7 linked regions of the Macaca fascicularis genome follow. The protein of the gene in region 2 purifies or fractionates together with the protein of the main gene of each other region. This does not show direct contact. Links are inferred from orthologs where the notes say so. Each region holds a gene or a part of one and is shown on either strand. Other genes may lie near its edges.

Evidence for each region.
Region 1: the proteins of SF3A1 (region 2) and SNRNP200 fractionate together in Homo sapiens (co-fractionation; 3 studies listed by BioGRID and IntAct, with this or other methods). This does not show direct contact. The link is inferred for Macaca fascicularis from reciprocal best matches to the Homo sapiens genes SF3A1 and SNRNP200.
Region 3: the proteins of SF3A1 (region 2) and ZC3H18 purify together in Homo sapiens (affinity purification with mass spectrometry; 3 studies listed by BioGRID and IntAct, with this or other methods). This does not show direct contact. The link is inferred for Macaca fascicularis from reciprocal best matches to the Homo sapiens genes SF3A1 and ZC3H18.
Region 4: the proteins of SF3A1 (region 2) and SART1 fractionate together in Homo sapiens (co-fractionation; 3 studies listed by BioGRID and IntAct, with this or other methods). This does not show direct contact. The link is inferred for Macaca fascicularis from reciprocal best matches to the Homo sapiens genes SF3A1 and SART1.
Region 5: the proteins of SF3A1 (region 2) and PRPF19 fractionate together in Homo sapiens (co-fractionation; 3 studies listed by BioGRID and IntAct, with this or other methods). This does not show direct contact. The link is inferred for Macaca fascicularis from reciprocal best matches to the Homo sapiens genes SF3A1 and PRPF19.
Region 6: the proteins of SF3A1 (region 2) and XAB2 fractionate together in Homo sapiens (co-fractionation; 3 studies listed by BioGRID and IntAct, with this or other methods). This does not show direct contact. The link is inferred for Macaca fascicularis from reciprocal best matches to the Homo sapiens genes SF3A1 and XAB2.
Region 7: the proteins of SF3A1 (region 2) and SNRPA fractionate together in Homo sapiens (co-fractionation; 3 studies listed by BioGRID and IntAct, with this or other methods). This does not show direct contact. The link is inferred for Macaca fascicularis from reciprocal best matches to the Homo sapiens genes SF3A1 and SNRPA.

The regions. Positions count from the first base shown.
Region 1 is NC_088387.1:1,383,556-1,387,200, reverse strand, and holds part of SNRNP200 (U5 small nuclear ribonucleoprotein 200 kDa helicase), read left to right. Parts: intron 1-1,612; coding exon 1,613-1,805; intron 1,806-2,277; coding exon 2,278-2,333; intron 2,334-3,608; coding exon 3,609-3,645. UniProt on the Homo sapiens protein: Catalyzes the ATP-dependent unwinding of U4/U6 RNA duplices, an essential step in the assembly of a catalytically active spliceosome. Plays a role in pre-mRNA splicing as a core component of precatalytic, catalytic and postcatalytic spliceosomal complexes.
Region 2 is NC_088384.1:21,310,720-21,314,817, forward strand, and holds the start of SF3A1 (splicing factor 3A subunit 1), read left to right. Parts: upstream 1-1,289; 5' UTR 1,290-1,381; coding exon 1,382-1,444; exon of another isoform or gene 1,445-1,526; intron 1,527-4,098. UniProt on the Homo sapiens protein: Component of the 17S U2 SnRNP complex of the spliceosome, a large ribonucleoprotein complex that removes introns from transcribed pre-mRNAs.
Region 3 is NC_088394.1:84,469,403-84,473,710, reverse strand, and holds the start of ZC3H18 (zinc finger CCCH domain-containing protein 18), read right to left. Parts: upstream 2,865-4,308; 5' UTR 2,701-2,864; intron 1-2,700.
Region 4 is NC_088388.1:8,433,687-8,437,980, reverse strand, and holds the start of SART1 (U4/U6.U5 tri-snRNP-associated protein 1), read left to right. Parts: upstream 1-1,471; 5' UTR 1,472-1,530; coding exon 1,531-1,843; intron 1,844-3,458; exon of another isoform or gene 3,459-3,548; coding exon of another isoform or gene 3,549-3,567; coding exon 3,568-3,625; intron 3,626-4,034; coding exon 4,035-4,090; intron 4,091-4,294. UniProt on the Homo sapiens protein: Plays a role in mRNA splicing as a component of the U4/U6-U5 tri-snRNP, one of the building blocks of the spliceosome. May also bind to DNA.
Region 5 is NC_088388.1:13,374,783-13,378,427, reverse strand, and holds part of PRPF19 (pre-mRNA-processing factor 19), read right to left. Parts: intron 2,830-3,645; coding exon 2,674-2,829; intron 2,419-2,673; coding exon 2,349-2,418; intron 2,117-2,348; coding exon 2,031-2,116; intron 1,763-2,030; coding exon 1,592-1,762; intron 1,441-1,591; coding exon 1,335-1,440; intron 1-1,334. UniProt on the Homo sapiens protein: Ubiquitin-protein ligase which is a core component of several complexes mainly involved pre-mRNA splicing and DNA repair. Required for pre-mRNA splicing as component of the spliceosome.
Region 6 is NC_088393.1:8,365,699-8,369,982, forward strand, and holds the start of XAB2 (pre-mRNA-splicing factor SYF1), read right to left. Parts: upstream 2,818-4,284; 5' UTR 2,794-2,817; coding exon 2,743-2,793; intron 1,543-2,742; coding exon 1,394-1,542; intron 1,110-1,393; coding exon 986-1,109; intron 699-985; coding exon 501-698; intron 1-500. Other genes in the region: protein PET100 homolog, mitochondrial, read left to right, coding at 3,099-3,125, 3,851-3,937, 4,101-4,124. UniProt on the Homo sapiens protein: Involved in pre-mRNA splicing as component of the spliceosome. Involved in transcription-coupled repair (TCR), transcription and pre-mRNA splicing.
Region 7 is NC_088393.1:47,864,504-47,868,801, forward strand, and holds the start of SNRPA (U1 small nuclear ribonucleoprotein A), read left to right. Parts: upstream 1-1,365; 5' UTR 1,366-1,476; intron 1,477-1,886; 5' UTR 1,887-1,908; coding exon 1,909-1,981; intron 1,982-4,298. Other genes in the region: ACTMAP (actin maturation protease), read right to left, coding at 1-297. UniProt on the Homo sapiens protein: Component of the spliceosomal U1 snRNP, which is essential for recognition of the pre-mRNA 5' splice-site and the subsequent assembly of the spliceosome. U1 snRNP is the first snRNP to interact with pre-mRNA.

The sequences.
Region 1 (3,645 bases), on a different chromosome or scaffold from region 2:
TCTGCCTATGTAATGAAGCCCCCATAAAAACCCCAAAAGGACTAGGTTTAGAGAGTTTGCGGATAGCTGCACACATGGAGGTTTCCGGAGGGTGGTGCGCCTGAGAGGGCCTGGCAGCGCCATACCCTTTCCCACATGATACCCTTTGCCACATGCCTGCCCTGTGCACCTCTTCCGTCTGTTGTCTGTTGGTAGGCATCTTTTGTAATATGCCTTACAGTAAAAGTAAGTGTGTCCCGATCTGTTCTAGCACAGTAGTTGAATCCCAAAAGGGGATTGTGGAAAGCTCGATTTGTAGCTGTACAGTGAGAAGCACAGGTCACACAACCTGTGCTTGTGATTGGCATCATGGAGTGGAAGGCAGGCTTGTGGGACTGAGTCCTCAGCCTGTGGGATCTGACTCTTATCTCCAGGTAGTTAGTGTTGGAACGGAATTGAATTTGAGGACACCAGCTTGTGTCCACTGCACAATTTTTGGATTGGTTGCTGGTGGGGAGGAATTGTCACAGAAGCCTTCTGTGTTAATTGTTGTAAAAGTATAGAAAAAACAAATTTGCTTTATTTCTTTTTTTTTTTTTGAGTTGGAGTCTCGCTCTGCTGCCCAGGCTGGAGTGCAGTGGCGCGATCTCGGCTCACTGCAGGCTCTGCCTCCCAGGTTCGTGCCATTCTCCTGCCTCAGCCTCCCGAGTAGCTGGGACTACAGGCGCCTGCCACCACATCCGGCTAATTTTTTGTATTTTTGGTAGAGATGGGGTTTCACCGTGTTAGCCAGGATGGTCTCGATCTCCTGACCTCGTGATCCACCCGCCTCGGCCTCCCAAAGTGCCGGGGTTACAGTTGCAAGCCACCACAGCCGGCCAAGTTTGCTTTATTTCTATATTCTCAGAGCGAGGCGGCCAGAGGATGAGACCGTGTGTCAGAAAAGGAGAGGGTCACAACTGGGAGGCTCCAGATGAACCTTGCCTCTGGATCCCCTTGTGGGATGTACTGGTCTGCAGAAGGGGCTTGTATTTACTGAGCACTCGATTTGTGTGGAACAGCACGTGTCTTTCTCTCACCCCCTCATGTAACTCCGTGAATAGGTGCTGTTAATACTCATTTTCCATTTTATAGAAGAGAGATGTGAGGCAAGAATAATTAAGTAATTTTCCCAAGTCACAGAAGTAGTATTTGGCAGAGCCAAGATACGATCCAGATAGTTTATATCTAGAATCTGTGTTCCTAACCGTTACACATGTGTGATTAGATTGGGGACCATTATGAGTCTGAGGAGCTCTGTTGATGTGGGTGCTAGAGGAAGTGAGGACAAAGAATTACAAAAGTGTGGCAGGCTAGAGGAGATCTGCCAAGTGACTGCCACCTGGAGATGTGGCAAGCTGTTGTGGAAGCTGTGTCCTGCTGCTTGAGGCCACCTAGCTAATCTTTTTAAAAACAGATGAGTCTTCCTTTAGTTGTGGCATTTTAAATCAGCATTAATGAGAAAGATCAGAGCCTAGTATGCAACAGGTTTTGAGAAAGTGTGGCTGTTTGCATCCTGCCGCCACATAAACCTGGTTGGTGATGTTCTGTCTGTCATCATTCTCAATATTGATTGGTTGTTTCTTGCTACCAGCCACGTGATATCCTTTGTGGGGCAGCTGATGAGGTTCTAGCTGTTCTAAAGAATGAAAAGCTGCGGGACAAGGAAAGGCGAAAGGAGATTGACCTGCTGCTGGGTCAAACAGATGATACCAGATACCACGTGCTAGTGAACTTGGGAAAAAAGATCACCGACTATGGTGGAGACAAGGAAATCCAAAATATGGGTAAGTGAGCTCTTTATGTCCTGATCATGTTAACTGGTTGTTGTTGACCCCTAAGTATGCATCTTCTAGCATCATTCATTTAAAAACCTTAGTGTCAGTGAGTTCCCATAATTTGTTGTGTGTTTTTTGAAGAGTTATAATTGATAGACACCAGAATCCCTAGATTTCAGCAGCTGTTCCTTACTCTGAGACCCTTTTGTTGTGTAGAATATGGGAGAAAATGTGGGCAGAGCCTTGGGGGCTCAAGTGGTTGAGCAAGCAGAGCTGGGCTGACTCCAGGGCTGGCAGGTGGAGAAGGTCTTGGCAGTGGCAGCATAGGTGGCTCTCTCGTGTTGATCATCTAAGTGCCTGTGTGTGTCCTTAGCACTTAGATCTTTCCTGAGGAGAGGTAGTTGGGGAGGACATTGGCTCCAGAGTGGCTTGTTTTACTAGCCATTCACTGCCCTCTTTTTCTAATCCTTCGTCGTTTCAGATGACAACATTGATGAGACATATGGTGTGAATGTGCAGTTTGAGTCTGATGAGGAGGTGAGTGATAAACAGGCCCAGTCCATTCTTGTTTTTGAAGTTGATGAAGGTAAAGGGACCCCTTGTAGTGTAAAGAAGCTCCCTAGTTTAAACCAGATACATTTTATGGTGGTGTGTGGGTTTCAGACTTAGGCATTATATGTTCTTTTGCTTAAAAAAAATGCAGTTATCTTTTAACTTTTCTACAGCAAATTTAAACTAACAAATGTAAAGCAACGTAATTATTTAAAATATACCAAGTGGATCAGCAAAAAGAAAGACAAAAGATAAAGTACAGTGAATACTTTGAGAATGTATCTGCTATGTTTTACTGCATTTTAAACGTATTACAATATTTTCCCTTTTTTCATTACTGTGTCCCCACTGCCTGTTTCAAAAGATTGCACATTTGCCTTAGAGCATGGCTGTAGTTCGTACATGGTTAAGTCACTGGAGTTAATGTTTACCGTCTAATAGAATTCCTTGAATATAAATAGGAATAAGTGGGGTACTTTGAAAAAATTACAGAGTGCCTTAGAGTTCTCAGTGAGTAGATTTGGCTCCTGAAAGGGAAAATGGATCCCTGGTATATATACCAGGGCTGGAAGAAGGGGTTGCATGGGGAGAGTTAGAGGACTAGGAGCCAAGACTTCTGAATTTGAGTCCTGTATCTTGGCAGGTCATTTTGCCTCAGTTTCTCTTTCTATAAAATGAGGCGATTTCAATAGGTGTTTGCTAAGCCACTTCCTACAGTATAGTTAATAGGATTTGATGATTTTAAGTAGCAACAAACTGCTTTGCTTGTAGCAGTTCATTCATTTAGCAGTGCTCGTTACTGAAGCACCTGCTTTGACTATGACACTGTGCCAAGTATGCCTAATGTGCAGTGTATGAGTAAATGGAGTGGTGAGCAAGCTTAGTGTGATCTCTTCATTCCCGAGTCACCATCTGCTTTCCCAGACGTGCCTCTGCATAGCTCTTCTCTTCTGTTAGCTGATCACTGTTTTTGAGTGTTGATTGTTTGTGTATTAGAAAAAGGCTATGGTCCAGTTGATTGCCATTGTGGCAGCCTAAGGTAAGAAACAGAAAGTAGGTGCATCTAATAAGTCTGTGCCAAGCAGTCTTTCTATTACATGTCCACTGGAATAAGGCTGACCTTGGTTCCAGTAGGCTCTCGGTTTCACCCCAAAGCCATTTCTCTAACCATTGAGCTAATTTAGGGTGACTTGAGGGAGAGGTTCTGTGGTGATGCAGGATCAGCTCCAGATAATGGTTGAGTTGGGGCCATTTCCACAGGAAGGTGATGAAGATGTGTACGGGGAGGTTCGAGAAG
Region 2 (4,098 bases):
GTGAGGAAACTGAAAGCCAGGCAAGGTTCCCAGCCAGCTCCGGGCTTTCCGGAGTTGAGGAGGGGAGGAAGGGGGTGGGGATCTCAGGAGAGGGAGAGAAAGCCGGCAGGAGTCGAGGTAGGCCTCTGGGGAGCGAGCTGCATAGCTTGCAGGGGCGCACCTGTGAGAGTGAGGGGTGAAGCCTAAAGCAGCAGCCCTGAGTGATGGCTCATGCGTGTAACCCCAGCACTTTGGGAGGCCAGGTGGGAGGATTGCTTGACTCCATGAGTTTGAGACCAGCCTGGGCAACATAGGGAGACGTCCTCCCACGTCCCTACAAAAAAAATTTTAAAACTGGCCGGGCGCGGTGGCTCACGCCTGTAACCCTAACACTTTGGGAAGCCGAGGCGGGAGGATCATTTGAGGTCAGGAGTTCGAGACCAGCCTGGCCAACGTGGTGAAACCCCGTCTCTACAAAACACACACACACACACACACACACACACACGGCCGGATGTGGTGGGCGCCTGCAGTCCCAGCCACTCGGGAGGCTGAGGCAGGACAATTGCTTGAACTCAGCGATTGAACTCGGGAGGCGGAGGTTTCAGTGAGCCAAGATCGCGCCACTGCACTCCAGCCTGGGTGACAGAACAAGACCTTGTCTCAGAAAAAAACAAAAAAGAAAGAAAAAGCAGCAGCCTTGATTTGAGAGGGAGGCCCCAGTGAGGCTTGAGATCAGGACTACGGAAGGCAGGGGGTGGAAGCAAGAAAAGGCAGGCCTATGGGAAAAGGGAATTAAGGGCGTAGGATTTGGAAGAGCGGCTTGGAGGATGTGGGCCTGAAATGAAAGGGGGGACTAAGGGAATAGGGAAGCGGGGCTCTGAGGCGGCGAGCCTTAGGGCACAGGGGCTCTCCGAAATGAGAGGCCAATGGGAGGGAGCTGGGCTCTTGGAAGGCGGTGTCGAAGGGAGCGAGGCACTGGCACTGAGCGAGGCACTGTAGAGTAAAGGAGGCGCGAGCTGAGTGCGGCGGGGGTCCGGCGGGTGACGTAGAACATCTCACCTGTCTTCGGCGTCGCGGTTTCAGCCTCTGTATCCGGTCAGCTCCGGGAACTGCCCCCGGCGCGCCTGCGGCTCCCGGGAACCCCGGAAACCCCTAGCCCGGAGCTCCAGCCGCTGCCTTGACAACGGCGTCGGATGCCGCGGTGCCCGCGGGGAGGAGCAGGAAGCGCGCCACGGCGAGGGGGCGGTCCCGGAAGTGCGTCAGTCTTACCTTCGCGGCCACAACTCGCTCGGCTGCCGCCATTTTGCGAGCTCGTCGTACTGTTCGAGCGGGGAGGCTGTCTTGAGGCGGCACTCCTCACCAACACCGAGGCGGACTGGCAGCCCTCAGCGTCGCAGTCATGCCGGCCGGACCCGTGCAGGCGGTGCCCCCGCCGCCGCCCGTGGCCACTGAGCCCAAACAGGTACCTCTCCCCCGCCCCTCAACCTGCAGCCGGAGCGTGGGCCTGGGCGCTACTTACTTGAGCGGGAATAAGCGGCCGCTATGAAGGGCTTGGAGGGACTGCAAATCCCAGGAGGCTGCGCGCTTCCCGCGCTATGGTGGTGGTTCTGGTAACGAAACCAGCTGCTCTGAACGGGGTTCTCAAAGTGGTCCGCGGAGCAGCCGCGTCGGCACGAGCCGAGAGCTTAGAAATGTGGAGTCTCCGCCCTAGACCTTTTAAATAGGGATCTTACATTTGAACAAAATCCTAAGGTGATTGATTTGTAAGTGTGAGAGGCGCTGATCCAGCCCATCCTCTGATCTTCTGTGGCAGTTGGGGCCACCGGCCCCAGCCTTTCCCCAGTAATGCCCACTTTCCCAGCCTGGGCGGTACATCTTTGGATGTTAATTCTCAGCATCTATTTCGGTGTCTGCCCCAAGCCAGACACCGTGCCACGCTCCCACGTTACCGGAATGAATAGGGCACGGGGAGCTCACAGGCTAACGAGAAGACAGATACACGAGAATGCTCACCAAATGTTTATTGTTCCGATGGCCGTCAATGATACAGTGTCAGCCCGCCCTTAATAAACCTCTCGAATCTCAAATGTGTATAAACCATTGTAGTACGGTGTGATATGCCCTGTGATAGAAGTTTCAGGTACAAATCTAGTCAACATTGCTTGCTGGAGTAGAAGGGATATTAAGGTAGGGAAGCCCACGGGAGTGAGAGGTAAATTTCTTTTAGAAGAAGGAATGGGAGTTTGCCAGGCAGGTGACTAGGGAAGGGAAATAACATCCTTTATTCATCCAGCAAATATTTATTGAGCATATATGCTGATCATTGCTTTGGGTTTGGAATGAGGGGGACATGACTGAAGAAGCCATGCCTTTTCCACAGATATTTAAGTACCTGTGTGTCCCTGGCATTTTCCCAGGCGTTGGGAGAAAATAAGGTAATGGCCAGATAATATGCACAAAGACACTGAGTTAAGAATCAAACGGTGTCTCTGATCAAGAGTAAATGAACAAGTGTTGAAGCATAGAGCGTGGTGACAGGAGATGCAATTCTTTCTTAGGATTTGAACGTTTCCTTGTAGACAATGGGAAGAAAAGGGAGAGTTTTAAGCCAAATAGTGACATTTGTGTTTCAGAAATTCAGGTAGGCAGGCATGTGGAGAGTCACTACGAGGAGGGGAGGCCAGTCACGCTATTCCAAGGGGCTGAAGGCCTGGCCTAGATTAGGGCAGAGGGGTGGGCAGGCTTTCCAGCCAGAGTGGTGTGTTAGAATTCTGGTTCTGCCAGTTGGACATTAAGCTCTCCATCTCTCAGTTTTGTCATCTGTAATGTGGAGATATTAAGAGTACTTGGCCGGCCCAGTGGCTCACGCGTGTAATTCCAGCACTTTAGGAGGCCGAGGCAGACAGATCACTTGAGGTCAGGAGTTTGAGACCAGCCTGGCCAACATGGCAAAACCCTGTCTCTACTAAAAGTAAAAAAAAATTAGCCAGGTGTGGTGCATGTTTGTAATCCCCACTATTCGGGAGAGAATTACTTGAACCTGGGAAGCGGAGGTTGCAGTGAGCCAAGATCATGCCACTGCACTCCAGCCTGGGCGACAGCAAGACAGAGTCTCAAAAAAAAAAAAAAAAGAGTACTTAATCTTATAGGCTTCTTATAAGAGTTATAAGAATTAGTATATTTAAAGTGCTTGGGAAAAATACCTGGAATCTACTCAGTGCTTGATAAAAGTTTTTTTTAAGAGACCGGGTGTCGTTCTGTCACCCAGGCTGGAATGCAAGTGTTGCAGTCGTAGCTTACTGAAGCCTTGAATTCCTGGGCTCAAGCAATCCTCCTACCTCAGCCTCCTGACTCACCGGGATTATAGGTGCAAGCCATTGTGCCCAACTTGATCAATGTTATTATTATTGAGTGTGGAAGCTGAGGAAGAGAGAGGAGCCCCAACTTTGTGGCATGGACGACTGAGTAGCTATTCCTGAGGAAAGAGGTTAGAGATGAAAGTGCCCAGTAGTTAGCTGGACCCGAAGCTGTTCAGTACGCAAGAGTGTTCTGGGACATCAGTTTGGGCCAGATTGTATAGAGGCAGGAGGGGAAGTGGAGGACACTGTCAAAACTGAGAAGAGAACCAAGAACAGAATTGGGCGGTGGGAGCGGGGATCTCCAACTTCACAGAGCAGGAGGTGAAACAGACCAGGAAGGAAACTTGGATGGAATGGTGAGCAAGATGGGAAGACAGGTAAGAATGGGGTCTAGGAGTTGAGAGTTTTCATGAAGGAGTGGTCACCATTCACACCCAGATAATGGCTGTGGGCAGTCGTTTTTGACTTTGTCAAGAGCACTTAAAATGAATGGGGACCAAATGGGAGGCAGGGAAGTGGGATCAGCAAACTGAAGAGAACTCAGGATGTTAAGCTGCCAGAGGATGGGGCGGGAGAAGGCAGCGGCAGAAAGGAACATGGAGGCAGAGGAGAAACTTCATTTTTCTAAGATAAGAGATTTGACCCTTTGTTTACTAAGGGGAAGAAGCTGCTGGAGAAAAAATATTGGTACTTATGGCATAGTTAATGCTGAACATTCCAGTGGAATTTCACAAAACACCTGAGCATTGAATGTTGG
Region 3 (4,308 bases), on a different chromosome or scaffold from region 2:
GGGCAGGTAGTTTACATCTCCCCAGCTGCCGAAGTGGAGCACCTGGTACCCAGCAGGATGTCCCAAGCTGAACCCAGACCTGAAATGTGACAAATTCTGATTCTCATGTTTTATAGTCTAATGTCAACCTTGCAAACAAAGTGATCTCTTAAATAAACTGACTTTTATGCAAAACTAAACGTCCCCTCAAACTAGTTTTAAAAAATCACACAATTGGCTGGGTGTGGTGGCTCATGCCTGTAATCCCAGCACTTTGGGAGGCTGAGGCGGGTGGATCACGAGGTCGGAAGTTCGAGACCAACTTGGCCAAAACACAGTGAAACCCCGTCTCTACTAAAAATACAAAAATTAGCTGGGCATGGTGGCACGTGCCTGTAGTCCCAGCTACTCAGGAGGCTGAGGCAAGAGAATCACTCAAACCCAGGAGGAGGAGGTTACAGTGAGCCCAGATCGTGCCACTGCACTCCAGCCTGGGCAACAGAGTGACACTCCATTTCAAAAAATAATAATAAGGTGCCAGGAAAAGAAACGTAGCCTCGTAAGTGTAGACAATGAAATGAAAAGCGTAGACACGGGTGTCAGCAGACAAGTCTCAACTGACACCTATGTTTGCAATTCGTGCTCAGTTTGGTCTTCGTACACTATCACTCTATAACTGAAGATTCTCAGCATGATTTAGAACTAAATCCTTAGCCCTCCGATTCATCAGATGGGTAAGCTTGCCTAAGGAATGAAGTAACAAGTACCCGTCATCCCAACTCTGTTGCTTTCTGCATTTGGCAGATGATACTTGATAAATATTTGTTGATACATGACAAAAATCTCATTACTTGAGGAACTACCTGTTGCCTACCAGAAAGGAATTGAAAATAAGTGCCCAGGAGGAGGAGGTTGCAGTGAGCCAAGATCGTGCCACTGCACTCCAGCCTGGGCAACAGAGTGAGACTCCGTCTCAAAAAATAATAGTAATAATAAAGACTAGGTGCTACCTCCCTTCCAAGCAGTCCCTCTGGGAGGATGCACAGACTCCAATGGCACTGCTGAAATGCAGAGCATTTGGGAACCTTCTCATTTCGAATGACCTTCCAAGCCTGAAGAAGTCTTCTGGTGTTCTCCGTGGTGGCAAATCTTCCTCCTCTCAAGCTAGTCTCTGATAAGTGCTGCAAGTCAGAGTCTCACCTGATAAGGTAAGTTACCAACCACATAAGACAACTTTTGGTCAAACCTGGAGGGTGACTACTGAATAAAACTGATTTTCCCATATGACTACATTTTTACTACCAAAACAGGAGTTCTAAAGAGGTTTTGGCAAAGAAGCACCAATGAAATACAAGCACAACATTTTGGGACAGTTATTTTCAACAGAGCAGTCCCTATTTGAATGCCTGAGTTCTGGAACATCTGGTTAAAATTCTGACTCATAACCTCACGGGCTTACAATATCTAAATGAAAGTTATCAAGGTTGGTGACAGACCCCACTCGCAAACTGACCAAGCTTGACCACTAAACTGCTTGATAAGGAGGTACTCACCTTGAGATGCTCTGTAGCCGTGACAAAATACAAATCTCTTGAAACACGATCTAGGCCACAGGTTAACTTACCTGTTTGCTTTCTGGAGTGACTCCACAAAGCTTTCTTACAACATTTCAGCATGTCCCACCTAAAATGGGAGAGGAGTTTCCGGCTTTGGGACACATTTGACCGGTTCCAGGGCTGGCTGGGTTCCATACTGCCCTTAGATAGTAAAATTATCAGGCAAAGACTCTCCTCCCAAGGCTGGGAAGCGGGATTCAGCCGAGGTCAAGGCTCACCAGGAGAATCTCAACAACTGAACGGGAAAGGACCACTCTACAGACAACAAGCTGGAAGTGAGTCTCAGGAGAAATGACGAGCGCCTTGCTACACCCCAAACGGTACTGCAGATGCCAAACACTCTCTTCTTCCATTTTCCCAAACGGGTCTGAAGAATGACCTACCCTTGCAAATGAGTTAGCGGAACAAAGCTCATTTAAAACGGCCACTCTAACCGGCAAACTCAGCTGTCACAAAGTAGTCAGGAAAACTTAATTTTTGGCAGGAGCAAGGCTGTAAGTTTCGGTTCTTCCAGCATTATATCTGCAGTTAGTTTATATAAAGGACCCAGCACCTCTGATCTCCTGATCCAAGGGGCAAGGAAGTTACATACTCCTAAGAGACCGGCGCGCGTCTTGGGGCAATCACCACGTCCAACCTGTGCACACTCTGAAGCTGCGGCGCAAGTTCCAGGAGGCTCATGAAGAGCTCAAAGTTCTCCGAAGAGCCCAGAAACAGCAAGGGCTGACCTATTCCGGAGGTTAACCTGGGCGCCTCTCACCGCCCCTTAGCGGGCGGCACACATGTGCCACGCGAGTGGCCCGGAAGAGAAATGACAGCTTCAGGAAAATAAACTCCGCCGCGGGGCGCGGAGGCAGCGCGCGAGGAGCTCAGGCGCTGAGGGCGCCCCAGGACCGCGGGGCCGCTTACGGACGGAACGCGGGGTGGTGCCTGTCTCAAGGTCCCCCTCCCTTGGCCCAAGGGCCAGTCTTCGGTCGGCGGGTCCGCACGGCCGGAGGCGCGCCAGGGTCCCGGGCCTCACTCCCGCCGCCGCCGCCGCCTCGGCGGCCTCCTCCTCCCGCCGCCGCCGGCCCGGCCTCCCGCCGCCCGCCCGGCCCCCGCTAACCTCAGCGCTAGGACGGAGAGGGGGCCACGGCGCTGCTGGAGTCGGAGCGGCGTGGAGAAGACGTCCCTTGGCCCTTCCGTTCCTCACAGGCTCTGGCTCCAGGCTCGACGCGGGCGGAACAAACGGGCTCCACTACCCGCGGGGGCCGGCCATTGTGCGACGTCATCAGGCCGCGACGGTCGTCCTACGGCCGGCGGGCTTCCCTCCCTCGCCCCGCCCCCTCCAGTTTCCTTCCGGCCTCCGCGCGGCTCCGCCCCCGCGGCGCGCGCCCGGACGCGCGCGCGCCCGCTGAGCCCCCGCTACAGCGCAGGCGCCACAGGGAGTTCGCTCCTCGGGAGCGGGAGTCCGGCTCAGCGCCTGCGCACAGGGCTCCCCGTGGCCGCCGGGTCACGTGACGGGGCTCTGGCTCGGCTGGTGGGTTCTTCATCCCTGGGGGATGATCGAGTTCAACGCGGAAAACTTAAAGCGGTTTTCGTCGGGCTGATATCTCCTGCTTTATTGAATGTTGATATTAAATGCTTAGCTCCGGAATTATTTTTTCAGGTATCGACTTTAGATTAAAAGCCTAACAATTCTTACCTCTCCCATGGGCTGCCCAGCTCCCCGCGCGGTTCAACGCGAGCAGCGCCAGCAAGGGGACCTGTCCCGTGTCCTGCTCATCGCGGCGTCCCCCGGGCGCGTCCACAGCCTGGGACGTCCAGGGGCTGCAGCGGTGCGAGCTGCTCTAGAGACGGAGGGCCCGGCCCAAGACCAGGGGCCCACGGTTTCATCCTGCACTGTCCCCTGCCAACGATGTGGCTGGTCCTGGGGGTCACAGGACTTCGCCCACCCCATCTTCCTCCATATCCCCAGGGTGGAAACAAGGGAGCGAGATGTGGAGGAACTGATGAACAGACAAAATGCGGCCTGTCCATGCAGTGGAATGTGAGTCAGCCATCCAGAAGAGTGAAGTTCAGACCCGTGCCACAACGTGGGTGAACCTTGGAAACATATTAAGTAAAGCAAGCCAATCACAAAAGGACAAATACTGTGCGACTCCATGCTATGGACCGAGTTCTGTCCCCCTAACATTTGTATGTGAAGCCGTAATCCCCAATGTGACTGTGTTTGCAGAAAGGGCCTTTAGAGAATTAAGGTTAAATGAGATTATAAGGGTGGGATCCTGATCTGATAGGATTCCTGTCCTTGGAAGACGTACCACAGACGTGGCCCTGTGGCTCACGCCTGTAATCCTAGCACTTTGGGAGGCCAAGCTTGGAGTACCACCTCCTCCAGGAGTTTGAGGCCAGCCTGGGCAACAAAGCAAGACCCCTGCCTCTACAAAAAAATTAACAGGACATGGTGGTACATGCCTGTGATCCCAGCAACTTGTTATGGTTATGTAAGAGGAGTGTGAATTCCACCCTGGTGATTTTGGTCGTGTCAGGAGCAGCCCTGTAACGCGAGTTGGCGCCTTCTGTAGGCTTTATGTGTCGGTAAGACAGTCCCACCCAGCAACGGCCAGTTGACAAACATAAACCTGCATGGACATTACCATCCATGCAAAGGAGCAGCCGGCACCGGCTGTGACCGACACGTGCCTGGCTGCGATCTGAGTTTCATGAACAG
Region 4 (4,294 bases), on a different chromosome or scaffold from region 2:
AAACGGGTGCATACATATCCCAACCCACGCTCACATCCCAACATACGCTTATATCCTAACACATACTCATATCCCAACACACGCTCACATCCTAACACATGTTGAGTTGTGCAAGGCAGGGAGCCACAGACTGAGCAACCCTTGGGTGAGGGGAGGGGTTTCAGGACCGATTGGGATTGTGCGCAATGGGCTTTTTTTTTTTTTTTTTTTTTTTTGAGACGGAGTCTCGCTCTGCTGCCCAGGCTGGAGTGCAGTGGCGTGATCTCGGCTCACTGCAAGCTCCGCCTCCCGGGTTCACGCCATTCTCCTGCCTCAGCCTCCTGAGTACCTGGGACTACAGGCGCGCGCCACCACACCCAGCTAATTTTTGTATTTTTAGTAGAGACGGGGTTTTACCATATTGGCCAGGATGGTCTCGATCTCTTGACCTTGTGATTCGCCTGCCTCGGCCTCCCAAAGTGCTAGGATTACAGGCGTGAGCCACCGCGCCCGGCCTGCACTGGGGTTTTAAGTCCCAGTAGTTTTTTTAGGGCTCCTCTCCTCAAGAAAAAAACTCATACACACAGATGTGCCACATTTTGCATTCAATTTCAGGGGTTCCAAGGATACACTGACGCTCATGTGGCGCTCCTTCAGTCTTAACAGTTCACGGGGCGCGGGTTTAAAAAATCCAATCCAGGGCTGGGCGCAGGGGCGCATGCCTGTAATCTCAGCATTTCGGGAGGCCAAGGCGGGTGGATAGCCTGGCTTCAGGAGTTCGAGACACCCCCCGCCCATCTACAAAAAAATACAAAAATTAAAGGGGCGTGGTAGCGTTCATTCGTAGTAGTCCCAGCTAGTGGGAAGGCTGAGGGGGTAGGATCACTTGAGCGCGGGAGGTCGAGGCTGCAGTGCGCCGTGATCGCGCCACTGCACTCCAGCCTGAGCAACAAAGTGAGATCCTATCTCAAGGGAAAAAAACAAAACAAAAAAACCAGGGAACGTGGGAAGGAAGCGTTCCCTAACGATACTAGTTATAGCGGGTCGGAAACTGGGCTATGGAATTTGAGATAACGGGAAAACAACACCCGTTGAAGCCACGACCCTAGGAGTCCACTAAGCGAGCGCCCATTGTAGGAGGGAGGTGTCTACGGAAAGGCCGTGAGGTAGTGAACACCCCGTTGTCGGTGAAGTGCAAGCGCAGGGATGCCGGGGAGGAACTTCCAGCCACGAAGACACTGGCTTAATGCCCTCTAAGTCCTTCCAGTTCTGGGATCCCATCTCCGGGTTAATTCCGCTTCCCTTGAGTAGCGAATGCACAACGGGACCACTGGCTCAAAGAACCCACCCGACCCGCGACGGCGCGAATGTGCAGTGGAGCAGTGATCCCGGTCTTCCCATGAGCCTCTGGGGCCGGCTCCAGGGCGAGCGACGGAAGCAGCCGCTCTTAGTTTCCGGCAACACGACAGCGGCTGCCGAGCGACCCGGAAGTATTCCCATTTTGCGTTGTCTGGGCTCGGCGGTAGCCGGGCTTGGAGTGGACGTGCCACTATGGGGTCGTCCAAGAAGCACCGCGGAGAGAAGGAGGCGACCGGGACGACGGCGGCGGCCGGCACCGGGGGCGCCACCGAGCAGCCGCCGCGGCACCGGGAACACAAAAAACACAAGCACCGGAGTGGCGGCAGTGGCGGTAGCGGTGGCGAACGACGGAAGCGGAGCCGGGAACGTGGGGGCGAGCGCGGGAGCGGGCGGCGCGGGGCCGAAGCTGAGGCCCGGAGCAGCACGCACGGGCGGGAGCGCAGCCAGGCAGAGCCCTCGGAGCGGCGTGTGAAGCGGGAGAAACGCGATGACGGCTATGAGGCCGGTGAGGAGGCGGGGCCTGCGCAGGGGGCGGGTCGGGCAGGGGTCCCAGAACGTGCGGGTCTGGGTGTGCGCACAGTGTCAGCAAAGCTCTCCGGATCGGGAAACCCCCAGACTGTCTATATCAACTCTTATTAAATAGTCTTTCTACGGGATCCCATGAGCCCAGGAGTTAGAGGCTGCAGTGTGCTGCGATCCCGCCAGTGCACTGCAGCCTGGGCAACAAAGCGAGACTCTGTCTCAAAAAAGCTTTTCTACGATTGTTTGGGATTAGAGGTAGACTGTCTCCACCTGGCTCCTTGAGGATAGAGAGCTTCGGTTTTTCTCAGTTGTCTGGTACAGTCACAGATTCTCAATAAATGTGTTGAATGAATGAATGAAATAGTGTCAGCATATGCAGAGGCAAGAAAAACCTGGTATTTGACGAATCGTATTGGACGAATCGTGTAGGGCTCCTGGTAGAGAAATGAAGGAGTAAGATAGGCAGGGATGTGAACGCAAAGGACCCTGTACTGTAGGCTCTGTTAAGAAATGTAGATTGTCTTGACAAGGTAGTAGGGAGCCTTGGCTGTGAGTTGAGGAGTGAGTTGCTCAGATCCGTATTTTGTAAACATTACTGGATTGAGAACTTAGTCAAAGGTAGTCAGGATTGGAGACCAGGAAATCAGGAGGGCTACAGACCAGGTGAGGGCTGATGGTGGCCTGCACCAAGGCAGCAGCAGTGGAGTGGAGAGAAGTGGACAGGTTGGAGAGGTGTTTTAGAGGAGGAATGAACAGAACTCAGTACTTGTATGAGGGTGGGAAGGAGAAGGAATTGAGGATGACTCCTTGAATTTTGGCTTGAGCAGCCAGATAGGTAGTGGGTGTCATTTCTACTGAAATTGAGGAGTAGGGAAGAGAAGGAGATTTGGAGCAGGGTGGGGGAAGATAATTCACTTTTGGGGTTGTCAAGGTTTATGTGCATAGGGAAATCCAGAGTTTGGACTGGATAAAGCCATTGGGAGTCAGTATCTGGGTGGCCAGTGAAGCCCGCGAAAGAATGCGACATGAGAAGCCGGGGTCAGGAATAGAACCTGAGAAATGCCCTTATGTTAGTAGTAGGCAGAGAAAGATGTTACCAAAAAAAGGAGATAGAGTAACCAAAGAGGCAGGAAAACCTTTGTGTCATGGGAACTTTGGAAATAGAGTATTGTTAGAAGGAGGGAGTGATCAGCAGTCCCATATACCACAGGAGATCAAGGAAAACCAGAACTGAAAAGAACCCGTTAGATTAGAAATGAAGGAGACTGGTGACTTTGGGGAGCCTGGAGAGATTGGGATCCAGGGCCCAGGTGGAGAGTGGAGCCTTTAAGATACAGGATGGGAATGCAGGAAAGGAAGAGGTGTTTTTTTTTTTTTTGAGACAAAGTCTTGCTCCATCTCTTTAAGAGACCTTGTCTCTTAAAAAAAAAAAATGAAAGAAAAAAGGAGAGGGCAGAATGGTGACTGTAGCAGTTTGGATCTCTTGGGTCAGGATAGGAAGGTGCGCAGAAGAGGCAGGGCTCTGAGACTGGACTCGGGCAGAGGAGCTGCTGGGGAGCTTGGGTGGAAGAAGCTGCTGTTTTCTGGTGTTTCATCAGGCCCAGGTGCTGGTGAGGGGCCCTCATCTTTGATCCTGCAGTTGGAGGCAATGATGCTGGCTTGTTGGCCCTATGTTCAGCTCCTGAGCCATGCTTCTTCTTCTTCCAGCTGCCAGCTCCAAAACTAGCTCAGGCGATGCCTCCTCACTCAGCATTGAGGAGACCAAGTGAGTACTGTCTCCCTTGTTTCCACTTTGTTTTTCTAAGATAGGTGGCTCTAGGGCCAGCCCTGGGGAGGCTTTCTCACATGAAAGTGTGCTAATTGGAGTTGGAAAGGTTGTATAGATCATTTTAGCCAACAGTAGAGTTATAGAAGAGGAAACTAATACCTAAGAGTAAAGTGGCATTCACCGGTTAGATGCAGACCAGGCTGGCGCCCATGTTTCCTGCTTTGGAGGCCAGGGCCCTTCCCAGTGTCCTAGGCTTCCTGGGGCAGACCGTGTGTTTGGGACCGCTCACTCCCACCCTGTTTCTTCTCCTGTCTGTTTGGAAATGCACATGGCGCCCTGTGTCTTTGATAGCCCCTAACACTTGTATCCTTTGATAGCCCCTAACACTTGTATCTCTTGTTCTCAGTAAACTCCGGGCAAAGTTGGGGCTGAAACCCTTGGAGGTCAATGCCATCAAGAAGGGTGAGTATGGGGCTGAGGATGGGGTTTGGGGGAGAGGGCCATCTGAAGGGGTCTTTGAAGAAGGTGGGATTAGAGGGCAGGTTCAGCACGGTTTAGTGGTCTTACACATGCATATTTGCCGGAAGGCACGAGGTCCCTTCTTGCTGTTCTAATGTGGACCTGGGGCTCTGCTTGTTTTCTGAGTTAGAGCCGTGGCCTTCGCAT
Region 5 (3,645 bases), on a different chromosome or scaffold from region 2:
AGTGAGTTCTCACGAGATCTGATGGTTTTATGAGGGGCTTTACCCCCTTTGTTCAGCATTTGTCTCCCCTGTCACCATGTGAAGAAAGATGTGTTTGCTTTCCCTTCTGCTATGACTGTAAGTTTCCTGAGGCCTCCCCAGTCACTGGGAGTCAATTAAACCTCTTTCCCTTATAAATTACCCAGGCAGTTCTTCACAGCAGTGTGAGAACGGACTAACACAGTTGGTGATCCTGATCCTGTGTAGGTCTAGGGTAATGTGTGCTTGTGTCTTAGTTTTTAATAAGAAAAGTTTAAAAAGTAAAAAATAAAAATTAAAAAAATTAGAAAACAGAAAAAAGCTTATAGAATAAGAATGTAGAGAGACAATATTTTTGTACAGCTGTACAATGTGTTTTTGTTTTAAGCTAAATGTTATTACAAAATAATCCATTTTTTTAAGTTTATAAAGTAAAAGTCAGTTAAGGCTTATTACTGAAGAAAAAGCTATTTATGAATTTAGTAAAACCTAAATGCACTGTGTTTATGAAGTCCACAGCAGTGTACAGTAATGTCCTAGGCCTTCACATTCACTCACAACTCACTCACTGAACGCAACTTCCAGTCCTGCAAGCTCCATTCATGGCAAGCAATATACCAGTGTACCATTTTTAAAAAATCTCTTCTACCTTATTTTTACTGAACCTTTTCTATGTTTAGATTGGTTTAGATACACATATACTCACCACTGTGTTATAACTGTACTCACTACATGTAATATGCTGTACCGGTTTGCAGCCCAGGAGCAGTAATAGACTACACTAAGGTTATAGCAACAGCCTTGGTGTGTAGCAGGCTACACCATTCAGATACGTGTGAGTTCACCCTACAATGGTCACACATGATGAAATCACCTAATAAGACATTTCTCAGAACATATCCCCATTATTAAAGGATATATAGACTGTATAAGCTTCAATCATCTGACCTTTCTGCAGGTCTAATATAATGTGGGCCTCCCATGCATATGCACGTCATTAAAATGGCTTTCCTCCTGTCACTCTGCCTAATGTTCATTGATTTCAGATTCAGTTATCAAACCTTCAGAGGGAGGAGTTTTCTCTCCCTTCAGTAACCTGCCCAATGCCACACGGCATGAAGTGGCAGAGCGACTACTAGCATCCACTGCCACGCAGTCTGACTCAGTCTGCTTCCTTAGCCATAAAGCTCTGCCTCAGGTGGTAACCGAAAGCTGCTTAGGTAAATTCATGCAAGTCCTAGAAATTCCTAACCCAGTGAGGCTTCCCTCCGGGCCTGGGCACCTAGAGACCCCAGGAGCCCAGGACCAGCCTCTACCTGTAAAGTGAAGAATCTCCGTCCATTGTTTGCAGATGTAGATCTGGACATCCGTGCCCCCAAGGGCTAGGTAGGTACCACTCTGGTCAAAGATCAGTGACTTTACCTGCCAGAAACAGAAAGAGAGAAGGTCACACAAGGGGAACAGAAACTATGGGGCAATTGCGGATAAGCAGAAGCAATTAGATTAATTCAATAAATAATCGACAAACAAGGAGACACAATGGAAAGCTGGGTGGGGCGGGGGAAGGGCATACCTCGAAGTTGTTATCCAGCTGCAATGTCTTAAAGTTCTTAAGCTTGCGCAGATCCCATAGCTTGACAGAGGAGTCATCAGCCGCTGTAGCCAGGTAGTAACCATTCTCAGAGAAGGCGATGCTAGTGATGGGGCCCGAGTGGCCAGGGAAGTTGGCCACATTAGTACGTTCCTACAGTGGTGGTGGGTAGTAAAACACGTCACCCACAGATCATGAGAGGAAGAAAATGGAGCTCACCAAACCCCTACCTGAGATGTCCCTCACTGTCCTTCCAGGAAGGCCAGCCAGCGGGACCCCGCAGACCACACCATCATATCACACAGGCATAGCCAGCGATGGCCCCTTCAGTGCCAGGTGCCACAAGCACCTCATCAGCACCACGTTGTCACAAACACCCGCTCTGGCCCTGGGCCTCAGATGGAAGCCCACCGTGTCCTACCTTCAAGTCCCAGATCTTGATCTGAGAGTCCATGGTTCCTGTGCCAAAGATGAGTCCATCAGGGTGGAACTGTGCACAGGTGAGAGCTGTGGAGGAGGAAGACGGACCTGTGGTCAGAGCCCACCAGGGAGAGACTAAGAGCAGCAAAGTTAGGTTCCTTGTTCTTCACGGTCCTCAGTGCACCCAGCACAAAGCCTGCACTAGGCAGGTGCTGATGGTAAATGTATCTTTAGAACAAATAAGCAAACGACTAAATAAAATGTAAAAGTAAATAATAAATAGCAAACAAAAAGGCTGAGCGCCTACGAGGCAACTTACAGCAGCCAGAGGTCTCATCTGTCACCTTGGTGAGCACACGCCCTGTCTGGATGTCAGAGAAAGCCCAGTACTGGGGGGAAAAAAAAAGAGAGAGAGAGAGAGAATGGAGTCAGTGAGAAAGTGGGTCCCAGGCTTTGGTGGCCTTTCAGGTAGACAGAGCCCCTGGTCTGGTAAACCCTGGCAAACCTAGCACCTCCCAGCAGAGAGGAAACATTCTCCTTTGAGGTTCTGGGGAAGCAGCTGGGGTGGGAAGATGTTCCCGCCACCCAGGATGTTCAAGCTTGGGGACCAGCAAGCCTCTCCAGGGCACTGGCTGGGACCGCACCTGATCATCGGAGGAGCTCAGGAGATAGTCACCAGTGGCGTGCAGGCTGAGGCCTGTCACAGCACTCTCATGGGCCCGAACCACCTGTACACAAGAGGCATTGGGGACCGACCAAATCCTGATAGTGGCATCGGGGGAAGCAGAAAACACCAGGTCCTACAAGGAAAACAAAGACAGAGTATCAGAGTCAGAGAAGAGACACAGATCAAAACAATGTTATAAAAGGAGGCAGGGGATGCCCAAAACTACCAACAATTGCTTCACCTTTCAGCCCTGCCCTCCCTGGAACCACCTACCCACCCAAAGGTGCCCACAACAGCCAATGGTAAACGCTATTCAAGTCGTAACTCATACATCATCAGGGCTTGTGGAGGCGTCCGCGCCATCTAGTGGTAAAAAGGCTAACTGCAACAGAGAGCAATTTTCCCATTTCCAGGACCAAAGGAAGAATGTAGCTAGTATAATTGAGGGACTGAATTTTTTATTCTATTTCATTGAAATTTAAGTAGCCACATGTAGCTAATTGCTACTGTACTGTATGGCACAGGTCTGGGCAGTACGGGGACTCGAAGGGGCTGCATGGCTGTATTTCAGTGCATCCCACATTTATGGATTTCCAGGGTAAGTTAGTTTTCCAAAAGATTTGGGGCAGGGAGAGAATTTCGTATCACTCACTCACCAATTTTTTGTTTAGTTAGGATATTAAAAGCCACAAGGCAAAAATAACTACCATCTTTATCAATACAATTTCATGAGACCTAACTATTAATACCCCATAAGCAAGAAAACAGTGCCCTCGATTTGAGTAATTTAGTCATGAAAAATTCACCATGTCATTCTTACATTTCTCATTTCCCTAAGGTCCAAGGGAAAGCTCGACTGGGAAGCGCTAAACCAACCACTGTCCTGCAGCCCCAAACCCAAACTGTCTTAGGCTTGAAATTCGAATCCCATAATATCATTAATCCAGTC
Region 6 (4,284 bases), on a different chromosome or scaffold from region 2:
GCCTTGACTATAGTGTCCAGCCTGGGTCCCATGGGTCCAGCCTCAGTCCTGACTGGTCCAGCTTAGAATCCAAATGTCACAGAACAGATACTGTAAGTTTGAGCAAACCATGCCCCACTCCCGCCCAGCTGATGCTTCCACTCTCCACCCTGCCTGCTTCTCCCCACCTCCTATTCCTGGCCCTCATCATGGCTGTGGTTTTACTCTAGTTCATGCCATCAGCTCACATACATCCGTCTTCCTAGTTAGACTAAAAGCTCCATGCAGGTAGGGAGTGTCTTAGCCACACTGTCCTCAGCACCCATCTCTATGCCTAATGTGAAACTGGCGTGAGCAAACTATTTGGAAAATAAAGACATGAATCACGGACAAGACATATGCATCTCCTGGTGCCTCTTCCCACATCCAGTCTGCTGGGTGACATCCTATACCGAGCTAGTGTCACAGTGAGGCAGTTTCTGGAAACTAACCTGGGGAACCAGCGTACCTGCTGGGCTCACCTTGAGGAAGCGCCGATAGCCTCGCACAGCTGTCTCGGGCAGTGGGTGTGAGCGCAGGAAGCGCAGATACAGGGGCCAAATTCGAGAGTGCTGCGTGATGGGCAGTGCCCGGAGGGCACGGTCGAAGGTGCGGCGGGTGTGTGTGACGCGCCCCTGGTCCATGAGGAACTGGCAGTAATCTAGCCACAGACGGGGCATCTGGGGGTGTGGGGAGAGGCGGCTGGGGCTAAGCCACGGACTCCATGGCCTACCCACAGACACTTGATGTCCTGTGGCTGAGTCACACCTGGGGCCTCCACATAAATGCAGCAGGACCCAGAAACCCCCAGCTCCAGGACTGAGTCCAGCCCAACTTCCCATGCACAGAAGCAACAGGATTCCAGGCCCCCATCCCTAACATGCTGAGCCCAGCCCCTGTCGCTACCCCACCCACCACCATGGACTGAGCCCCCCCTCCCGATTTATCCCCTCGCCTAGCCCCAAACCTTGTGCATGAACACAAAGGCCCTCTCATGGCAGTTGTTGACATCTTCGTAGGCGGGGTCGGTCACACAGCGATGCTTCACCTGTGCCCGACGTGCCTTCAGGTATCGGTACCAGAGTTTGTAGCTGGGGAACAGGAGGGGACAGATGCTGATCGGTCAGCTTTATGGACCCCCCCCCCAGAACCATCTGCCCTGCCCCTGTTGGCAAATGTGGGTGTGGGGGGGGTGACATGTCTCAGCAATGACAGGGACAGACTGGGACATCAGAGGAGGTGTGCTGACCCATCAAGGGATGTACAGGTCAGTGATGGGACACAAAGCAATCACCTGGGACCTACTTGGCAGTTTTGTTATAACTGGACCGGGGGGGCAGGGGCTGGTGGGCAGGGCAGCTGGAGCCATTCCCACCTGCAAGGTAGCAGCTTGAGTGCCCGCTCATATAGCTGATTGAGCCTGGGCTTCGGGGCGCCCTGTTTGAACTCGATGTAGCGAAGCCAGCATTTGACAGAGAACTGGTTCCGCATGATTTCCTCCTCATAGGGGAGGTCCTCTTCCTCCTGCCAGGGCCAGGGAATGGGGAGAAGAGAGGTCTACCCTCAGAGCCTGCGTGCGGCACCACCCCACTACTGGGGCTCAGGTCCAAACTCTGGACTTTTACCCAGATCCCACCACCCACCAAGGAAGTCAGGTCACCAGATGCCCAGGCACCAAACCAGGCACCAAACCAGATGCCCAGACACCAAGACACTGGCCCAGACCTTTACCCCTCAGAATTCAACTACCCAAAATTGAACCCAAATCATCAGACTTCTCAGTTATTAGGGCTCTGGGCCAGGCATGAGTCCACATCACCACTCGCTTTCTGCCCCAAATGGTCAGACTCCTTAGCTACCAAGGCCCTGGCCCAGATGCCAGGCCTCTGTCCTGGACACCAGACCCCACTTCTTCAAAACATGCCTCTTCCCAGACACCAGGCCTTTGGCCCCTCAGGCTCCCACTGTCACCAACTGACCCATCTCCACTCCAGGCCCAGACGACCAGATCTTCACCCCAGCCACCAGGGCTCTCAGGTCCAGATTTCAAGCCACTGGCCCCACCCCCAGGATCCCACTAGCCAGCATCTAGCTCAACTCTGCCCCAGAAGTTAAAAGCTAGGACTTTATCTCATAAGAGCAGTTATACACCAGAAGCCAAGCCTTTAACTCTGCACACCAAGAATCTGGTGAAGATGTCACGCCTCTACTCCAGACAATAAGCATTTCATTGGCCATTGCCTGACAAGCTCCACAACACCAGGGTTCTTCTAGCCTGGCCACCACCCCCAGAAACTGTCATGCCGCAGTCCAGACCTAGAGACCGCTATCTAGAAAACCAAGCCTTCATTCCAGAAACCGGAGCCCTGGCCTCGTAATCACGCCTTTACTTCAGACACCGGTCTTCACTTCTCAACGTTCAATTATGCGGTCTCCTTCCTCTCCCATTCCCTGCAAGCCCCCATTTCCGCCCCTGGCTCGGGAGGCTAGACGCTTTCCTTCGACAGTAGTTTTCTACTCATACCCTAAGACACAACACCGTATTTTTTACTCCTGGCCAGTTAGGTGTGGACATCACAATCCGGTCTCTGGCCCGTTAGGGTCCCCAATCCTTGGCCTGGCAATTTTGGCCTAAATCCCCTTGGCGACCCGGCCCCGATCCCCTGCGGCGTCCAGGTCCCAATGCCCCAACGCAGGCCACCCCTGGCTCCTTTGTGGACTCACGAAGACAAGGTCCGGCCGCTCGGGCCGCGAGAGTCGCGCCATCACCACCATTTTCCTGGATGCCCAGGTACAGGCGAGAGTCGCGCGCTTATGACATCTACCACTGACGGCCCGCCCCTCCGGGCCAGACCCGTTTTCTATTGGTTAAATCCTTTTTGACGGACAGGCTCACGTTATTGACTTCGTTTCGAAGACGCCAGCGACCGGAAGCAACATAGAGACGCCCGAATTACGTCATCAGGATACACATTGGCCAATCAGCTTCAGCAATGGAGCGTGCAAAACACCAATGAGCTTCTGTCTTGCTGGAGGGTCGGCTTTGGGCGGAAGTTGCTTTGTTGACCGGGAGAAACGAGATGGGGGTGAAGCTGGAGATATTTCGGGTCAGTGGACACAGGAGTGGATTGGGAGGCTGAGCAGGGGATCTTCCTGGATCTGAAGATGAGGCTGGAAATGGGGGTCTTAAAAGAAAGAGGGTGCTCCAAGGAGAAAGCTCTTAAGATTTGAGAGGGACCTTTCTGGTTGGAAATCCAGGAGAGGGGACGCTGGGTTGTGGGGTGGGGGGGTTCTCAGATTTGGGCTTCTGGGTTTGGGGGCTGTGAGAGGGCTGGTCCGAGGAAAGACCTCAGAGAGGGGTTGGCTGAGAAGGGGGCTCTAAAGAAGGAAGACTTAAGATCCTGGGGGAGCTCTCGGGCTTGTGGTGGGTGGGTGTCTATGATAGGGAGACTCCCAGACTTCGAGAAGTGAAGTTGAAGAGTGACGCCTCCTGGGTTTGGGGGTGCTCCCGGGATCTTAAGTGGGGATGAGTAATGAGGTCTCGAGGAGATGCTTTTGATTGTAGCTCGGGCCTCTGTATGTCTGTCTGTCTTTGAGAGAAAGACTCCAGCTCAGGGGGGACTTTCAGGAATGAAGCCTCCTGGATTATAGAAGTTAGGTTTTAGGATGCGAGGTTTCTGTACCCTTGGTGGGAGTTCTGGGGTTCTTGGGTCGGCCCTAACGAGGCGCTTCTGGACTCTGCAGTAGGATGGGTCCCCCAGGCTCTGAGCAGCCTCTGCACATTGCTTGGGGCGAGGGGGGCGGTCACCTCACCCACCCTCTGCCATTCCAGATGATACTCTACCTCACTTTCCCTGTGGCTATGTTCTGGGTTTCCAATCAGGCCGAGTGGTTTGAGGGCTACGTCATACAGCGCAAGGTGGGCATAAGAGGAGTGTTCGAGGGTTCACTCCAGGGGTGGGAGAGGGTGCGGGGCACCAATCTGCTGGGGGCCAATGTCTGCCTCCCATGAGCTGACCCTACCCTGGTGTGGGGCTCTGGAGGCTCTTGGCTTGTGTCCCAGTTGTGACTTTTCCTTACAGAGGGAGCTGTGGACACCTGAGAAGGTAAGTGATCTCATCTTCTTCCTGCCAGAGGGATGGAGGAGGCTGGATGCTTGTATCTGGGATGGGTTTCAGGTGAAAATTTTAGGCCAGGTGCAGTGGCTCATGGCTGTAATCCCAGGGCATGGGAGGCCGAGGTGGGTGGATCACTTGAGGTCAGGAG
Region 7 (4,298 bases), on a different chromosome or scaffold from region 2:
CTTCACGTCTTCTCTGCCCTTGGGAACTGGGCCAGCCTTCTCCAAGGCCTCCTTCAGGAGCTGGCTCTTCTCCAGGCCGAAGACATGAGGGGGAGCAGGCCCCGTGGCAGCGGGTGGAGGAGGCAGTGGGGGCGGTGGGGGAACAGCGGTCTGCTGACTCCAGGGAGGGGATGGTATAGCTAAAAAGTCCAGGGGACTTGGGGGTAGAGAAGGAGATGGAATGCTGCTGGCTTGGGGTACAGGGGTTCTTGGAGGAGGGATTGGTGGCTTTACGGGAGGAGAGCATGGAGAAGTCATTTTGGGGTCTACAGGAGGGGCTGAGAGGTTCAGAAGGTGGGGAGGGAAGGATCCTCCAACGGAGAACAGTCTCAGGGATGGAAATTTTAAAAATTTACGAGCTGAGTTCCAGAATCTGGGGGCTGAGCAGTGGGTGTGAAAGGACCACAGCTAATATTTGAAACCATGGGAGCAGGAATTGAGGGTGACTCAAGTCATAAGGCACCTGACAGTTAACAGGGTGGGGTCCTTAAATCCGGAACCGGATCTGTGGTACCGGTTGGGTTACCTTGGGAGTCTTAGGTGGACAGTCAGTAGGAGTTAACTCATTCTTTGGGGCTAGATGTGGAAACACATGAGTAAGTTTGGGATATGAAGGCTCAGACCTAAAGTGAGGTGCCTTAAGGGTGCGACTTAGGAGCCCAGGGCTAAAGATTCGGAGAACTTAGGTTCACTACCCCCTCACATCCCAGGCCCGAGTTTGGAACCTTTGGGCTGACCTTTGAGTCAGAGGTCAAGAGGTCAAAATGGACACCTGGCAGGAAAAATGGCCTAGTTGTGGAGAAGGTCCCGGAACCAGAGCAACAAAAACGTCTGTGGGTTGGAGAAGACTCCGAGATCAGAAGCCGGTGGGCGCCGTGATAACCGGTGGAAAAGGGAAGGGAGTCAGGAAGTAAGGTACACCTCCCACTCCCAGAAAATGGCGGCCCCCGCACACCGCTTTTCCCATATCACGGGGTATCACACGCAACAGTGCCCGCCCATTTGGCGATCACGTGACAGAAAACGCAGCGCTGGGGGGAAGAGGCGGGACTTCAAAAAGGATTGCCTCCGGAAGACATCACAGCGCCAGACGCGTCCCGATTGGCAAAATACTAGTGACCTTTACTGATTGGTCCGTAGACCCGGGAGTCACGGAAGGAGGTGGGCTTTCAGGGAGTCGGGCGGGGTTTTTCTACCTAGGCGGGAACTCAAATATCATTTTGATTGGCAAGAGCTGAGCCCAGAAACGAGACTTGCTCTGATTGGTCAAGCTACTGCGTTTCCGCGCGGAGATTGCCTGGCAGAAAGGCAGGGGCGGTGCCAGGAGAGAAAGCTTCGTGGTTTGGTCTCAGGAAAGTAGCAGGCGCCGCTTGAGAGAACTGCGGTCCTGTCGGAAGGTAACCTGGGGTGCAAACGACCATCGGCGGCGGGCGAGCGGTACGCTTGGCGTCCGGGCCTTCCTGGGCCCGTCTGAGGAAACTTGCTGCTCGAGGCCAGGCTGCCCAAGACCTGTCCCCTTTTTTCTATACTGGCTCCCACATCCGGGTTTTTCTCCAGGACGGCCCTTCGGATGCATGGGCCAATGGGAGTCGCCATTTAGGGCGCTCCGCCCACGGGGTCGCGTAGAGCATCCTGGAAGTCGTAGTAAATCTCTCGAGAGTTCCCTCTGCACGCGTGCTGGAGAAGCGGGTCCTACGCACGCTTTGTTGCCCGCGCTTTCCCTCGGTCCTTCCCCCTACTCCCGCCTTATCTGACTTCCTTTTGGGAGGAAGATCCTTGAGCAGCCAACGGTGGGACAAAGGATTTGGCGAAACCCAGGGCTAAAGTCACGTTTTTCCTCCTTTAAGCCTTACCTCAACACTTCACTCCATGGCAGTTCCCGAGACCCGCCCTAACCACACTATTTATATCAACAACCTCAATGAGAAGATCAAGAAGGATGGTGAGTTCTCGGGATAGTCCGGACTCCAGACTGTCCCGCACGGGCTGGTCCCTCTTCCACCCCCTGCATCCGCTTCTCTTTCTTAAGTGTTCCTCCAGCCAAACTTCGAGTTAACCCCTTGGCCTTTACACAAACTACTTCCTGTCTTCAACACTCCATTAGTTCATCTTACACTCTGCCCTTTAACCTGGTCACTGTTGCTCATCTTACAAGGTTTGAGGTCACAGGACCCTTCCTCCAGGAAGCCTTCCCTTGTCCCTTCACGTGGCTGCCGCTGACTTCCCATACGCTGAGGCCATCTCCCATCACGCCCTGATTCCTCTGAGCTGTCGTGGGGCTCTCTCTCCTCCCAGTGGCCTTTGAGCTCCGTGAGGGCAAGGACTGGGGCTTTCTTGGGTCACCGGCTTTTTCAGTGATCAGCTCACAATGAAAATGTACCGTAATGGTGGCTAACGCTCTGTATCATGGGTTAGTCTATGTGCTTTTATATAAATGTTGATTACATTTAGTTCTTACAACAAGCTTGTAGGAAGAAGGCTGTTGTTATTCCCATTCCTCAACTAACAAACTGAGGCAGGGCGCGGTGGCTCACCCCTGTAATGCCAGCACTTTAGGAGGCCGAGGTGGGCGGATCACCTGAGGTCGGGAGTTCGAGACCAGTCTGACCAACATGGAGAAACCCTGTCTCTACTGAAAATACAAAATTAGCCAGGCCTGATGGTGGCACGTGCCTGTAATCCCAGCTACTCTGGAGGCTAAGGCAGGAGAATCGCTTGAACCCGGGAGACGGAGGTTGCAGTGAGCCGAGATCACACCATTGCAGTACAGCCTGGGCAACAAGAGCGAAACTCCGTCTCAAAAAAGAAAGGAAAAGAAACTGAGACAGGGTGATGTGACTTGCCCAGGGTCACATAGCAAGTAAAGTGGTTGAAGCCACCGGTATAGAATTCTGCTTAAGAACCCAATTTTTGGCCGGGCGTGGTGGTTAAGCCTAACACTTTGGGTGGCAGAGGCAGGAGGATCACTTAAACACAGGAGTTCAAGATCAGCCTGGGCAACAAAGCGAGACCTTGTCTCTACAAAAAAAAAAAAAAAAAAAAAAGGCTGGGCGTGGGTGGGGTATGTCTGTGGTCCCAGCTACTCAGGAGGCTGAGGTGGGAGGATCGCTTGAGCTAGAGAGGTTGAGGCTGCAGTGGGCTATGATTGCACCACTGCACTACAGCCTGGGCAGAGCAAGAACCTATCTGAAAAAAGGAAAAAAAAAAAACTCAGTTATTGAAATGGGAAAGACCCTCTCACGTTCTCAAGTAAATTATCACCTTTATTGAATCTCATTTTCTACATGTAAAAACTGAGCAAAATCATAATACCTTTTTTGCATGGATGTTGGGTGAGATTAAATTAGCTAAACCTTGCAGTATTTCTTTTTTATGTTAACTGGCAGCTAGTAAGGGCTGGATAAATGTTAGCTCTTATCACTTCAAGAAAATTGTCAGGAGAACCGAAGGAGCTTACTGGGATTCAGTTTGAGGTCACCAGTGAAGTTGCTCTTGAAGAAAGCAAAACCAGCAGCCGGGGCACTGGCTCACGCCTGTCATCCCAGCACTTTGGGAGGCTGAGGTGGGAGATCGTGTGAGGTCAGGAGTTCAAGACCAGCCTGGCCAAGATGGTGAAACCCCGTGTCTACTAAAAATACTTTGGGAGGCTGAGGTGGGAGATCGTGTGAGGTCAGGAGTTCAAGACCAGCCTGGCCAAGATGGTGAAACCCCGTGTCTACTAAAAATCAGCTGGGTGTGGCGGCGCACATCTATAGTCCCAGCTACTTGGGAGGCTGAGGCAGGAGAATCACTTGAACCCTGGGAAGCAGAGGTTGCAGTGAGCTGAGACTGCACCACTGTACTCCAGCCTGGGTGATAGAGACTCTCAAAAAAAGATAAAATAAAATAAAACAAAACCAGGAATGTAAATTTTGCATATGCTTTTAGAGTGTGGTGCCTAACCATTATTGGGCAGTGCTGGGGACACACTGGTGACATAGAACGCTGGTTCTTTTTTTTTTTTTTTTTTTTTTTTTGAGACAGAGTCTCGCTCTGCCGCCCAGGCTGGAGTACAGTGGCCAGATCTCAGCTCACTGCAAGCTCCACCTCCCGGGTTCACGCCATTCTCCTGCCTCAGCCTCCTGAGTAGCTGGGACTACAGGCGCCCGCCACTGCGCCCGGCTAATTTTTTGTATTTTTAGTAGAGACGGGGTTTCACCGTGTTAGCCAGGATGGTCTCGATCTCCTGACCTCGTGATCCACCCGTCTCGGCCTCCCAA